Linked DNA regions of Danio rerio. The protein of the gene in region 1 interacts with the protein of each later gene in a biochemical or structural test. Links are inferred from orthologs where the notes say so. Each region holds a gene or a part of one and is shown in the gene's direction. Other genes may lie near its edges.

What was found. The genes of interacting proteins can lie anywhere in the genome.
Region 2: the proteins of bmpr2a (region 1) and gdf2 form a complex in vitro, tested with the Homo sapiens proteins (2 studies listed by BioGRID). The link is inferred for Danio rerio from reciprocal best matches to the Homo sapiens genes BMPR2 and GDF2.

Annotation. Positions count from the first base shown.
Region 1 is NC_133181.1:13,756,296-13,764,100, reverse strand, and holds part of bmpr2a (bone morphogenetic protein receptor type-2a), read left to right. Parts: intron 1-844; coding exon 845-2,016; intron 2,017-6,494; coding exon 6,495-6,769; 3' UTR 6,770-7,805. UniProt on the Homo sapiens protein: On ligand binding, forms a receptor complex consisting of two type II and two type I transmembrane serine/threonine kinases.
Region 2 is NC_133187.1:3,041,810-3,050,040, forward strand, and holds gdf2 (growth/differentiation factor 2 preproprotein), read left to right. Parts: upstream 1-2,783; coding exon 2,784-3,108; intron 3,109-5,172; coding exon 5,173-6,017; downstream 6,018-8,231. Other genes in the region: gdf10b (growth/differentiation factor 10), read left to right, coding at 172-363. UniProt on the Homo sapiens protein: Potent circulating inhibitor of angiogenesis. Signals through the type I activin receptor ACVRL1 but not other Alks. Signaling through SMAD1 in endothelial cells requires TGF-beta coreceptor endoglin/ENG.

The DNA of each region.
Region 1 (7,805 bases):
TTTCAAACAACGTTTTGGACTAATTCAGCTGCCGTAGGCCGATGCGCTGTGCATTATGGGATATGGAGGAAAAATATTTGTTGACAGCGCTTTACCAACAGAGAGAGAGAGAGAGAGGGGAAAACATTACCTGATGGATCGTTGGTAATATTTCCGCAAGATGACCATGTTGCAGTTTAGCTAAATTAATTTACGCCTCCTCCTGAAGTGACGAGCGACGCATTAAACACTGTTTTCAAGCCGCGGCCGCGCTTCATTTTCGTAATGTATAGTTTGTCTAAAGCAGGGATACAATCAGCCAGCGCAGTCGTCCCTCCAGAGTAAAAGGTTTTGTTTACCTGCGGGAGTTCACTGGCATTTTCCCGCACGTGAATTGTGACCAATCAATAAGCAATTTAGGAAATATGTTCAACAACATCTGGCCAATGAGAGATGTGGATTTTGTCAGATGACTGCATTTTGGTTCGTTTCAACTGGTTCGGATCAAAGCCAGCAGTGTGGTGTAAAAACGACCCAAAGACGGCAGAAAATGCAACAATGTATCATTTATTGCGCTTGGTCCGGACCAAATGAAGCGAACTACAGATGTGAAAGCACCCTAAGTGTCCAGAAAAGTGCTATTTAAATGTAAGAAACTATTATTATTATGATGATATTACATAGTTTGTTGTTGTTTTCTTTTGACAGTATATGTGATATTTTCCATTTGACATGTTTCCTGCCATTTCTTTGATCAATTTTTTTAATTCTTGGTTCCGTGATATTGAAATCCATCTGTTTTAATTAAAAGTCTATACACATCTTCACCTCATTTGATTTAACCAATGCAATATAACATTTGTAGGAACTTCTCTGCTGGAAGGCAGACACCTAAAGTAGGTTCTGTCCTTGAACACTCATCCACAAACACTGAAGACCATGAAGGTGCTGATAAACCACTCCACAATGACACCTCAGTGGAGCAAACCTCAGCAGGAGGAACTAATCCCGCAGAGAAGAAAAAGAACTGCATCAACTATGAGTGGCAGCAGGCCCAATCACGACAGTCTGGCACAGAAAGCTCCTCCGCTACTCCTGTCTCAGAGTCCTGCAATGCCACGCATCCTCCACCAGTGGCCACCAATCTCTGTGCTCAGCTGACACGAGAAGACCTGGAGATACCAAAACTCGACCCGAGCGAAGTCCAGAGGAACATGAGAGAGAGCTCGGACGAGAGCCTTATGGAACATTCACAGAAACAGTTCTGCTCTCCTGAAACGTCAGCCTCCCACGGCCCGTTTTATCCTCTCATGAAGATGGTTTCTGAGGTTTCGGGGTCACAAGGATCCAGTAGGCATGGGGACACCCCTATAACCATCTTACCTAAGCAGCAGAACGTCCCTAAGAGACCCAGTAGCCTCAGTCTCCACGTAAAGCCTGGGAAAACATCCACCTCGACGTCTTCATCGCTGCGGATGAAGTTCGGAAAGCTTGGAAAGTCAAATCTGAAGAAGGTTGAGATGGGTGTGGCTAAAAGCAGTGTGGTGAATGCGACGCATGAAGCCCGGCTGATTACAGTTGCCAACAACGATGCGGCGGCAGCAATGAATAAATATGCAACAGAACCAGCAGCCGAGTCAGCAGGAAGTTCAGCCAACGAGGACTTGACCTTCGGCCTCTTAAACACCAGTCCCGATGAGCAGGAGCCTCTGCTGAGAAGAGAGGCGCATCCTGACAATGCAAACAACAACAACAGCAATAACAACAATGGTGAGGGAGATGGTGATGGAGAGACAGAGGGTGGAGGAGAGGGAGGAGAGAACAATGAGAGTGTCGGTCCGACAGGGGATGCTTCGTCGTCTTCTACGGTGGAGCCGGTTGTGCTGCCTGGCCCGTGTTCTGCTTCAACCGCCATTCCTCCACAGGCCCAAAGCCAGACACAGACACACGGAGAGGCTCTGCTCAGACAGAACCGAGTGCGCAGACCAGAGAGACCCAACTCTCTGGATCTGTCCATCACAACACTGCCATTACTAGGTGAGATTCTCATTTCAGCTAATTTTACCATTTTAAGTGCAATTTACTTGTTTTTTTTTTTATTTGTGGGACCAAAGAGGTTTTGTAAAACAGTTCTGATTCTGGTTCTGATTAAACAGTGATTCAGCTGATTTAGGATTTGTAAATGACAATTGGCATTGAATGCAAGATTAAACGTTAATCTAAATAACGTTTATAAAGATAAATGTTGCAAAAAACATTGTATACTTTATACACAATGCTATTTATACTCCATTTAACTATTTAATTTTATATACTGCTGAAGACAAAACTATTAACCTTTCTGTGAAATTTTTAATCTTTTTCATATACAATGCTTCTGCATATTTTGCTCCATTTCTCAGTGAATAAGGGCAATGTATTTAGGTGCATTTAAACAAAACAGATTTATTAATTAAAAGTATATTTTAGTCAGCAAACATATTTAGAAATAGAAAGATAATTCAATTAAATTCAAAATATTGCAAAAAAAAAATTACAACCTTCAAAGTTTCAACTAAACTTCATTTAATATTTTTCTGTACCATATAAATTTAGGTGTACTAGTTTTTGGACCCTTTTCGTAAGTTATTTTTTTTAAATAAGCTCCAGATTTGTTCTCAGTGCTGACTAATCTAATGTATATGCACAAATATAATATTGTTTAGCTTCCTAATAAAATATGAATTTAAAAGAGAGATTTGTGAGGGGTGTACTTATATATGCTGAGCACTGTATTTACCAAGTGCTGTTCAATGGATGGGCGACGCAGTGGCGCAGTAGGTAGTGTTGTCGTCTCACAGCAAGAAGGTCGCTGGTTCGAGTCCCGGCTGGGTCAGTTGGCGTTTCTGTGTGGAGTTTGCATGTTCTCCCTGCGTTCGCGTGGGTTTCCTCCGGGTGCTCCAGTTTCCCCCACAGTCCAAAGATATACAGGTGAATTGGGTAGACCAAATTTTCCGAAGCGGATGAGTGTGAATAAGTGTGTATGGATGTTTCTCAGCGATGGGTTGCAGCTGGAAGGGCATTTGCTGCGTAAAACATGTGCTGGATAAGTTGGTGGTTCATTCCGGTGGGGCGACCCCAGATTAATAAAGGGACTCAGCCGACAATAAAATGAATGAATGAATGTTTAATGGAGAGAAGATTTCTTCAACACATTTTTCAAAATAAAAGTTTAAAAACTATAACTTTAATCTTTGCCAGTTTACTAGTTCTTTTGCAAGATACTAGCATTCAGTTTAAATTGCTATTTAATTAGGTTAACTGGGCCAGCTAGCTTAATTAGGCAAACCATTGGACAACACTGGCTTGTTCTAGCCAATTAAAAAAAATATTTTTAAAAATATTGACTTTTTTATTTTATTAATTTATTTTTTAATTCTAGCTTAAAATAAAATACAAATAAGCCATACAAAGAATATTTTATAAAAATTATTTATACTTTACCCTTATTATCCGCTTGTTAAGTGTGACGTCACACGAAGCTGCTTTCGGGTCCGAACGCTCTATTCAACTGAATGGGGAGACTCATGAAATGGTAATAATAAACGTTTACAAAGCGATTTAATACTTTCGAAAATCACGATCGCAATATATATGGCCATGCCTAATATCCAATGGCCAGAAAGTTATTAATTTTTTTTAATAAATTGTTTAAATTTTGAAATTTGTTAAGCAGAGATTGTTGTGTACACTATGACTTTATATAAAATTAACTTTAATGTGTGATATAAATAAAAAGTGATCATAAACAAATAATTCCTCAACTCGAATGAGTGGCAGCTTGGACCCGGAAACAGTATTACATACGTCACCAACACGTCACCACTTAACAAGCGGATATCATCATCATAAGGAGCAGTAGGGCTGGGCGATTAATCAAAAAATAATCTAAATCGTCATTCAAAACCTATAATCGATCAAATTTTTTCAAGTAAATTTTTTCAATTACTTTCCCTAACGCCCGTGGAGTCATGTGACCCCGCTCTGATTTATCCTTCTGCTTCGAATGCACGGGTGTGGTCTGGCGCAGCCTTCGTGAGTTCGTATGCCTGCGCACCTCTTTAAAAAATGTAATTACACATTGCACGTTTACACTACATTGGCGATGATTGGATGCCGTGCCAAAAAAATCTTGAGATGGCATATTTTCCAGTACAAAAAAATTATTATTTACATTAAAATATATGTTTGCACAAGATTCAAGATATGCATTGTTTAAAACATTATACACAGGATATACATAGTTGTTTTATTTAGAAGAGACACTGCTTATTTTCTACTTTTAATAAGAAAAACAATAATATTATATATATATATATATATATATATATATATATATATATATATATATATATATATATATATATATATATATATATATATATATATATACTTTTTTAGTTATTTATTTTTTTATTATTATTTTTGCTTTTTTAAGAAAGAGTGACTGTTGTAGGCAATGTGTGTTTTAATTTCAGTTGTTTGACGTTGAATCAAATAACCATAGATAGTAGATAGTGTGTGTTTTCTTTAATTATTTTATAATCAAGTAATGCACCCCTCATTCAGAAATCTCTCGCTTGTAATATTTGAGCTTATTTACTGTACAAAACTTGTCAGGGAACTATAAAGGCCAAAAAATAAAATACATTTAGATAATCGTTTACCGAGTTAAAATGTTTAGTTAATCGAGATTTTGATTTTAGGCCAAATCGTCCAGCCCTAAGAAGCAGTCATACAATTCATTACATTTCGAATCGCTTAAAGTGTGAAAGCCATATAAATAGCACACTTATTTATTTAAATAGAATATAATTCAGTGTTCACTCAATATTAAAACATTCCTATTATTCATTCAAATACATTATAGATAGTATAAATCAGGTTTATGCTAAACATAGTTGTCATTACAATATTCCTATTAAAGTCTAGTTTCAGGTAACGTTAAAACCAAAGATAGAACCACATACTATTGTATTGTAATGTCATAAATAAATGAGTCCTAGCTTTCGAGTCATTCCCTTCACTGCCTTTTCTTAAAAAGAAATGTTATCAGGGTAAACTATACATATGGTTCACCATGAACATCTTGCTTAATATAAAAGATTTTGAAGATTAGCGAACAGGCTGTCCATTCATTAAACGACAAGATATTTCCTCTCAAAAGCTGTTCATTCAGAATAATGAGGCCTCTTCCCATTGACATGCATTGAGGCGTCTGGTCTTTTTTGCCACCTATTAACAGACCAGAAGTATTAGCATGTGTTGTGTCTTTTTGGCTAATGGTTTTCAGCATTTTTTAAATGCTCTCACAGCCAGTTTTTGGCAGAGTACAGGTGTTTTCAGCTGCGCAGAAACGATTCGGTGGACACACATCTTTATATGTTATAGAGGACAATTTGTTAAGTGTAGTATGTTATAAAGTGTCACAATCGCCAGCGATCTTGTCCATACTGATTGCTGGAGAACTACAAATCTTCCACCAAAAGTACTACAAATCCTGTCATGCACCACACACTCACACCTGTTCCACCTGTAACATTATGAATCTTTAACTTTAGCCACCTGTACAGATCTCTTGCCTTGTTTTGGGCACTCTTTGTGGATTGCCATTTTTAATTCTGTTTGCTCCTGTAATCGACCCTTGCCTGCCTGACCATTATCTGTCTGAATAAAGTCTCTGGATTCTCACCTCCGTTGTCAGCATCCTTATGTTACAGAAGACTCGAGGCTTACTCGGCTAACATCAAAAATCAACAAAGCAAAAAATCAAACCACAGGAAGGCAAGGAGAAACGCTTCGTAATGCTACAGGTAGAACAGGTGTAAGTGTGGTACATGATGATGAGGATTTGTAGTTCTTTTGGTGGCAGATTTGTAGTTCTTGAGCGATCTGTATGGACTAGATCGCTGGTGATTTGAATTTCTACACTCAAAAATGACTTTTTGTGCTTCGTTCAAACTACTTATTTAAAATGAGTTGAAACACAATTATTTTTTTTTCAGGACAAATTAATTGTTTTATGTCTAATCCACTTACACTTGTAATAACAATTAAGTTCACTTAGTTGACAACATGAAGGAATTGTGTGGAAGCCAGCATTTTTTACTGTGTATCTTGATGACATCACGAAAAAATGGCAGCTGATGGTCAGGAAGCAATGTTTTTACTGATATGCACCTTCTCTACAACACACACACACACATAAGATGAGTTTAAATGACACAGTCTGGCAGTGTGGCTATCATAACAGTCTAAAATATTATGTAGACTATCTATGATGGCATGTAACACTTTCCAAAGGCATTTTTGCCAGAGCGTCATAGCTGAAACATGATCATAATGACTTTTTGTTTGTAAAACCACTTTGTTTCTGAGCAACTGACACATAATTTCTTTCTGCTCATATTTCATGAATGAGGCCCATTGTTTTAGCCGTAGAAACATGATCATGTAACTTCTCGGTTCGCCCACAGGAGGCAGGTCTGTCGGCGATGGGACAGAGGGGTCAGGGGATAAAATCAAGAAGCGGGTAAAGACGCCTTACGCACTTAAGAAGTGGCGTCCTGCCAGCTGGGTTATCACCACTGACACACTGGATGCCGAAGTCAACAACAACAGTCGTCACGGAGGAGGCCTCGGGCAGAATCAGAATCAGGCTGGGACCAGCAGACCTAAATCAGCTTCGGCTGTCTATCTAGGCAGTCGAGGAGGATCTCGCTTCTCAGATCCTAATGACTGTGACTTTTGAACTTAAAAAACAGGGTAAATCCTTGTTAACTCTGTAAAAAGGTCTGGAGACATTAGTGGATTGAACCATATACATGTCTTAAACTCAACCCCAATCATAAGCACAGTAAGACAATTATTGACTTTATATTGTAAAGAGCTATGCAGCCATCTTCTTGTTCGTTTTTGTGTTAATCAAGCCACTTTTTGTTGCACTTTTTTTGCTAGAAGTTCTCAATCAAATCATTTTGACCATTCAAAATGGTCATTTATTCTTTTTTAAACCAACGTCACATTCCCCAGGTCATGGAAAATATCCTGAAAATATCAGGGAATTTTAAAAGTCTAATTATTGAAACATAACAAAACTATAACCTTATAGTGATGTAGGGAAGTTTCCAACCTATTGTGGATACGTACCCTTGTCTACATTTCTGGAGAGCGCAAAATACTTCCCAGGAGGTACGTTTTTTGCAGTTTTTGTTTTCGCGAATCTACTAGAGGCCGCTGTGTACGCCTTTTCAGGTCTCAGATTTATTTAGCAACTGCCATTCGTGCCTGCCCTTCTTTCGTAAATCCACCAGACGCCGCTGTCGACTGACTGACTTGACCGACCAATCCCCCCACCCTCCTCCTTCCCTAAACCCAACCGATTGTGTTTACAAAGCACCGATTAGCCAGCACACTATCATCCCTATGCCCAACAGACAACGTTTTCAAAAGCAATCCAGAAAAAGAAAAGCCCTTGCGGCCAACCTGTTTTTTTTTACAATGTTTTCAGATCTTATCAGGTTCTCCCCTAATTTTTTACTTGTTTATTTGATTTTTTGCTTTTGTTTTACCTGCTTTCTGGAACCGTTCTTCTTCGGAATTGAACCCTGTCATCGCGGTCAACTCCGCTCCTTCTCCTAAGTCCACCGACATGCATGGCGTGCCACTGGGCAAACGGGTAACAGCGGAATAGACGTCTACACAGAGGCAAGCGGTCAGCTGGTAAGTGCGAAAAAGAAATCTGAATCATACCGTCCCATAGCGTTTGTTTTAAAGATGAAATGCAG
Region 2 (8,231 bases), on another chromosome or scaffold:
ATTTCACTTGAAGCTTACAAGGGTAAACTATTTTTTCTTAATGATATGAGCTGATGAATTGTTCACCACAAAACTAGCAATGCAAGCTAACGCAATCAATCTGTTTAGTTTTGATTTTTATATACTTCACGGCTTTATCCTCCAACCTTGACTTTCTTTCTCATAATGCAGGTTGTCCATCCATCCAATCATGCGACCATCCAGAGTATAGTGAGAGCGGTTGGGATTGTTCCTGGAGTCCCGGATCCGTGCTGCGTCCCGGATAAGATGAGCTCTCTGGCCGTACTCTTCCTGGACTCCAGCAGGAATATGCTATTGAAGATCTATCCCAGCATGTCTGTGGAAACCTGCGCCTGTCGATAAACGAGAAACACTAATGGAAATACGGATAAATAATCTGCAAAACAGTAAACTCTGCTACAGGGACTGCCGTCATATGACAAAAACAAACTCTTATGTCTGCAAATAAGACCTCAACACCTCAGATAATACAGGATCTTTGCACACAAACTTTGTATTTTCTGTCCGCTCTTTCATTTTGAATGAACTGTATATAATCCTTATTGTGACATACTGTAGTTTGCTTAAGGTAAGACTCATTTTGCAACGAATACATGGTGAATTTAAGGACAAAGAGATTTAAATGCATTTCTGTAAATAAATCTGGTAATATTCTGCATTATGTCTCATTCGTGAACATTGGTTGATGTGTTTGTTCACTTGAAAGAATTGTGATTAAACATTTTGTTCAACGTGATTTGATTTTATATTTAAGGGGACCCATAATGACAAGATGTAAAATAAGACACCAGCAAATCAAAATAAAATATTAGTATATGTTTATGGAATGCAGTTGATATTATAAAAAAAATAAACTTCTACTAAAGGAACAGTTCACAAAAAAGTTTCAAAAAAAAGTTCTAAAGTCAGAATTCAGAGTTATAAAGTCGGAATTGTGAATTTTTAGGTCAGAATTCCGAGTTTTTAAGTCAGAATTGCGAATTATAAAAGTCAAAATTGCGAGTTACAAAGTCGGAATTGCAAGTTCTAAAGTCAGAATTCCAAGTTATAAAGTCAGAGTTCTGTTATACAGTCTGAATTGCGAGTTCTAAAGTCAGAATTGCGAGGTTTTTAGGTCAGAATTCCAAGTTGTTAAGCCAGAATTGCGAGTTATAAAGTCAAAATTGCGAGTTACAAAGTCAGAAGTGCAAGTTATAAAGTCAGAATTCAGAGTTATAAAGTCAGATTTCCGAGTTATAATGTCAGAATTCCGAATTAAGTCAAAATTGCAAGTTATAAAGTCAGAATTGCACGTTAAGTCAGAATTCCGAGTTAAGTCAAAACTCAGAGTTAAGTCAGAATTACAAGTTACTAAGTCAGAATTCGTGTTAAGTTGAAATTGCGTGCTATAAAGTCAAAATTGCAAGTTATAAAGTCAGAATTGTGAGTTATTAAATCAGAATTCCAAGTTATAAAGTCAAAATTGCAAGTTATTAAGTCAGAATTCCGAGTTAAGTCAGAATTTCGAGTTAAGTCAGAATTGCAAGTTATTAATTCAGAATTGTGAGTTAAAGTCAGAATAGCAAGTAATTAAATCAGAATTGCGAAGTATAAATGAGTTTCCTGACTGCCGACTGGCCATAGATAGAGTGTTAAAGAACTCGGAAATTCTGACTTTATAATTTATATATATATATATATATATATATATATATATATATATATATATATATATATATATATATATATATATATATATATATATATATATATAAAAAATAATTTTTTTTTTTAATTTTAGCATTCAGTGTACTTCCAGAAATTATCCTCTTTTTTACAAGATCTAAAATAACTCTCAGATGTCTCTAGAGTGTGTGTGTAAGAAGTTTCAGCTCAAAATACCAAACAGATAATGTTTTCTAACTCTTTGAAACGGACCCTTTTTAGGCTTTGATACTAATATTGGCGTTTTGATGGCTGTCGCTTTAAATTCAAATGAGATTGTGCTGTTTTTAAAAAAGGGCGGAGCTACAGATGCCTATGTGTCAGCGTAGTGGCAGGTTCAGAAACAAGACTAACGTACTTTGCTAATAAGGGAGACACAGTCACTACTGACCCAGCCGAGACTCGAACCAGTGACCTTCTTGCTGTAAGGCGACAGTGCTGACCACTAAGCCACCTTGAACCATGGTTATTATATAAATATTTATTAAAATTCTAATAGTTTGGATTTGCCCATTTATTAAAATATATATGTTTTATTGCGAATAAAGACTTGATGAATTGTATTGGAAACAGGGAAGAGGGCGACGGTCAACTTTTAGACCCATTAACCCTTTCCACAACCTGAAAATGAAACCAAATGCAAACTAAAGAGAGCGCTGGAATCTTTAATGTTAATATTTATCATTTCCGAGGCTGATAAGTTGAGACATCCTACACATAAACACAAACAAATTCAAAGTGATGGAGTTGCCTTTATAAAAACAGAGCCTGACCGTGTAAATAAGCCTGTCAAAATCTCACTCATTAGTCGTTCTGGTAGTGTTTACAGAACGCTCATTAACTACGCGCTTCCTCCAGATAACCAAGTCCAAACCACAACATTGGTGTCAAAGATAATAGCTATGCTACTATTTTGGTTTCCAGAGCTTAGCGTGGGGCATGGGAGTAAACCTGAGGTTCACTTAAGGAACCCCGATTTCAAAGCATCATCCACAAACCAAAGTCAGATGTAAAACTTGTTGCTCAAAGTCACTTATCGCTGCAGGAACTAAAAGAAGATGTGGCGCGTAGGACATTTGCTCCTTCTGATGTCCATTGTTTTTAGGATTACCGAAGAGAAATCTTTAGGTGACGCTGGCAGCTTGGAAGATTCAATGTTCATTCAAGAGCAGAAGCTGGTTGAAGACGATGACTTGAACAAGGTGGAGAGTTTCTTAGGCTTTATGAAGGAAGATTTTTTGAGGAAGCTGAACTTATCAGGCGTGCCGCAGGAACACAGAAAGGTTCAGCCTCCTCAGTTCATGATCGAACTCTATAATAGATACGCTTCTGACAAGAACTCCATCCCTCGGTCGGATGTCATCCGAAGCTTTGTCGTTCAGGGTGAGTACACATAAAGAGAGCTCACAATCTCTGAGGCGGATCTGTTCAATATTACACACATTAAAAGAGCTTCTTTGATTGATTGTACCATCAGAGGAAACTTTTCATTAGGTGATATATACTGGAACCAGCAGCGGTGGACAATAACAAGAGTTTTAACTGGATTGCTCACACAAAAATGTTCATTTTACTATCATTTGCTTATTCTTTACGTCAGGGGTCACCAATCTCATTTCTGGAGGTCCGTTGGCCTGCAGGGTTTAGCTCCAACTTGCCTCAACACACCTGCCTGGGTGTTTTAAGTATACCTAGTAAAGCTGCGGTCACACTAGAGTTTGATAATAAAATTCTGTGGTACGACGCTGCGAAAAGGGGCGGGAATAAACAAGATTATCTGTTCAGAGAGGTCATGTTTTGATCCTCAATTGGTCTCACGCAGTCAAGTGATGCGATTTCGCAGGTCAGAGTTCACCAAGCTTGAACTTTGCACCGTAGGAACCTGCGAAACTTGACGCATGACCTTGCGTTTCCGGTCTGACCAACACAATCTCACGGCAATTCGTAACTTTTTCATTTAGTGGCTAATTCGTATGAATTTGTACGATCTAATTCGTACAATTTAGTACGATTTGCTTATCCCCCAATGACGGTTGGGGTTAGGGGTGGGGTTAGGTGCCACGCCTCCTTTTTAAAATCGTATCATTTCGTACGACTGAAATCGTACAAATTCGTACGAATTAGCCACTAAACTGCCAAAACGTTAAATACTTACGTTTTCTCGTGAGATCACGCTGGTCTGACACATTCGCGCGAGTATGAATGGAAGTCTACGGGAGGAAAAGCAGCTTCAGACCTTGATTATCTTGTTCAGGTGTGTTTGATTAGGGTTGGAGCTAAAATCTGCAGGACACCGGCCCTCCAGGAACAAGTTTGGTAATCCCTGCTCTGCGTGCTCCAAAACTATATGAGCTTCTGTTGAATACAAAACTGTGAAGAATGTTGGGGAAAAGGCAGCCATTGACATCCATATAAAAATACTATGAAAGTCAGTTTTCCCCCCCGCAGAATTCTTCAATATATTTATGAAAATGAAGAAAAATTCATGAAAGTTTACAACCAATTTGGTGTGAGGAAACAGTGAATATCCCTTTTTAATACATTATCGAATATCTTTCACAAAAGTTGTTTTGTAAACTTATTTTAAAGCATAATTGTGCTTTTTTTATATTAAAAATATATTTTTTTATTATTTATAACTAAAGAAATTCTCCTGCCGTAATTTAAAGTCATAACAGTGGTGTCTTTTTTCATGAATGAGCTGACTTTTGTCAACACATAATAATCCTTTTTTTTTTTTTTAAATGAACTGCTGATTTTCGTCTCCTTCAGCAATTTTCTGAGAGTCAGTTGTCGATCTTTAGTGCGTTTATTCATCTGCCGTCCCTATGTGGGCGGAGTAATACACAAGAGGCTGTATGAGTGCTGTTATTTTGGAATATCGCATGACTATCAGCCAATCAGATTCGAGAACCAGATAGAAATATTGTAAAAATTACAATAATTATTAAACGCATTTTAATTTTTTGTTTCTTCTTGTAAATTTTAAACTATTACTGGCTATCAAAATGACCAGAAATCCAGTGAATTTAAGGGGACTTTTTTTTTTAAAGTGTAATATTGAACATTGGCGGCATGGTGGCTCAGTGGTTAGCACTGTCGCCTCACAGCAACAAAGCCACTGGTTCGAATTACGGCTGGGTCAGTTTGGCATTACTGTGTGGAGTTTGAATGTTCTCCCCGTGTTGTTGTGGGTTTCCTCCGGGTGCTCCGGTTTCCCCCACAGTCCAAACACATGCGCTATAGGGCAATTGGATAAACTAAATTGGCTGTAGGGTGTGAGTGCATGTGTGTTTCCCAGTACTGGGTTGCGGCTGTGTAAAACATATGGCGGAACAGTTGGCGGTTGAGTAATATTTTTTTGGCCTCTCTTATCCTTTTCACAAGATCTTTAACACATCAAATTAATGGTAAAATTCACTGAGCTCCCTTTTGTCTACTCTACAGATGTTATTTATTCCATCAGACAAGGCAACAAAACCCAACACCGGCTGCTATTCAACGTTTCCATCCCAAATCACGAAGAGATTACCTCAGTCCAGCTACGTCTGTTCACTCTCTGGCACAGACATAAACCCGCCTGCGACGATCTCTTCACATCCATAAACGTCTATGATGTAGAATACGAGCAGAATGCTAAAATATTACACCTTCTGGATGGCAGAGACGTGAGAGAGTCCATAAACACGTGGGAGGCTTTTGATGTGACCGGAGCCGTCAGGATTTGGCATGAATCTAGACGTGGGGCTGGGGAAATTCAGGTTGAAGTCCAACATAGCTGTGACTCCTTCGATATAAGTCTGAGTCTAGAGGACAACAGCTCTGCGGTCGTCATTGTTTTTTCTGATGATCTCGGAAACCGGAAGGAAGAGTCGATGAGGAAGGTTAAAGAGATGCTTGTGCGTGAACAACAGCAAGTGGGAAATCAAGCTCCAGTGAGCAACCGACACCGCAGGAGAAAGAGGAAAGCAAAGAACAATTATTGTCGGAGAACTTCCCTCAAGGTCAATTTCAAAGACATCGGATGGGACAAATGGATCGTTGCGCCGCCGGAATACGACGCTTATGAGTGCAAAGGTGTGTGTTATTTCCCTCTAACTGATGACGTTAGCCCATCCAGACATGCAGTCATCCAGACACTGGTTAACCTCAGCAATCCAAAGAAAGCAAACATGGCATGTTGCGTCCCGACCAAGCTGGACCCAATCGCCGTCATGTACCAGGAAAAAGGCGTCATCACCGTCCGACATCTCTACGAGGAGATGAAAGTTGCAAAGTGTGGCTGTAGGTAGTGTTTGGATGCATCTGTATACATGTATATAACATATATATATATTATGTATATCGTTATAAATATATTTTTATTCCTATTGAAATACCTCTTAAAGGGATAGTTCACCCCAAAAATTAAAAGTCTGTTTAATTTGTTCCAAACCTGGGGTGCGTTTCCCAAACATCGATGTAACTCGTGGCTAAACTATCATAGTACGATGCATCATTTGGGAAAAGAACCAGCCTAGGCTGGTTGGCTGGTTTTAGCTGGTCGACCAGGCTGGTTTTAGAGGGGTTTTGGCCACTTCCAGGCTGGTTTCCAGCCATTTCCAGCCTGGTCTTAGCTGGTCAGGCTTGGAGATGACCAGCTAAAACCAGCTTGACCAGCCAAGCCAAGCTGGGAGTCCAGCCAAAACCAGCTATATCCAGCTTAAACCAGGCTGGTCAAGCTGGTTTTAGCTGGATTTGGCCGGTCATTTTCCAGCCTGACCACCAGCCTGGTCGACCAGCTAAAACCAGCCAACCAGCCTAGGCTGGTTTAAGCTGGATTTTTCAGCAGGGATGCATAATTTGGGAAAAGAACGATGTTTGTTTCCCAAAACTCGTAGTTTCTCTTTTGCAGATCTATCGTTTGAACATACAGTAACATTATTTATCAACATGTGGCTCTTTTTGGATTCTTGGACTCTATAGACATGAAAAATGCAAACAGGAAATACGTTGAGACCATTGTTTTTGTTTACATTTCTCAAAATGTTCTATATTCCTACCCTAAACTGTTTAAATAACCATAAGCAGATATTTTTAATTTAATGAAGCAATTGTCATGGTTATTGGTTTATTAATAGCTTGAGAATTGTAGCTTAAAGTGTAACCAACATTATTTTAATGAAACAACGATTGTAGAGGTTAATGTCAACATCCTTAATGTGATCAAAATGCTATTTTCACTTCAACATGTTGACTACATGAGAATATACTGCAGGGGCATTTCAAGGATTCAGCATCTGGGACACAGATCAAAACATCAGGCCTGATATTTCTCCTTAGAGATCTTTTTGTTTAACATTTTGATACAGAAACATACTTACACATGTATGCAAAAACAGATGTGGATGCTTGGCCAATGCATACTGTACATACTAGTCAAAAACCTCAAGGGGGCGATAGAGTAACAGTACTGTTCAGGTAGAAGGGAATATCTACGGTACAAATTAGTAGCTCTCCTGAAACGGTTTTTCAGATGTTTTCCAAGCGCTGTCTAAGAGAGCAAGGAAATTATTAATGCTAGCATCTTGCAAAATAACTAGTAAAGACGAAAGAAATTAATTAATGGAAATTAGTTATTAAAATTATTATGTTTAAAAATGTATAGCCAAAATCTTCTCTCTGTTAAACAGCACAGAAAAAAATATATAAATAAATAAATAATATTATAATATATAATAAACACACACACACACACACACATGTACTGTATATATATATTTAACTGTATATGAGATTCAACGTGTTTAGCAAAAAAGTCTATTTAACTGTGCATCTATAAGACAATTTCTTTTTTTAAATGTGTTTTTATTAAAGTTTTTATAAACATAGTATACGAATAACACTTACTTATAATGTTTACAATCACAGAAAAGAAACAAATAGATGTAAAATAATTGATATAAATTATAATAATATATAAATAATAGTGACAGCTTTAAAACAAAAAAAATAATAATTTAATTAATTAATTAAAAGAGGGGGGGGAGAATAAATAAATAAATAAATAAATAAATAAATAAATAAATAAACTCCAATATAAAGGCAATAACTGTGACAAAGACAAAGCCCCTGAAACCCTTTCAAAGATCAAGCATGTATGTTTCGATTAATGCCCAGGTCTGTTGGAAGAAGTCTAAAAGTCTAACTGCAAATCTGCAGTCATTTTCTCATATATATATATATATATATATATATATATATATATATATATATATATATATATATATATATATATATATACACACACACACACACACACACACACACACATATACATATATATACACACACGTTTCAACCTCTGTGTCTATTCTGTCAAAGTAGGTTGGCAGGTCTTCATCCAGTTCACTGTAATTCTTTTCCTACCTGTTATTATGAATATATTTAGTGTAAATAGGTGAGACTTACTGAATTGATCAAATATGTTATTGATGATGTGAATTGACAAAATACTGGGTGCATTG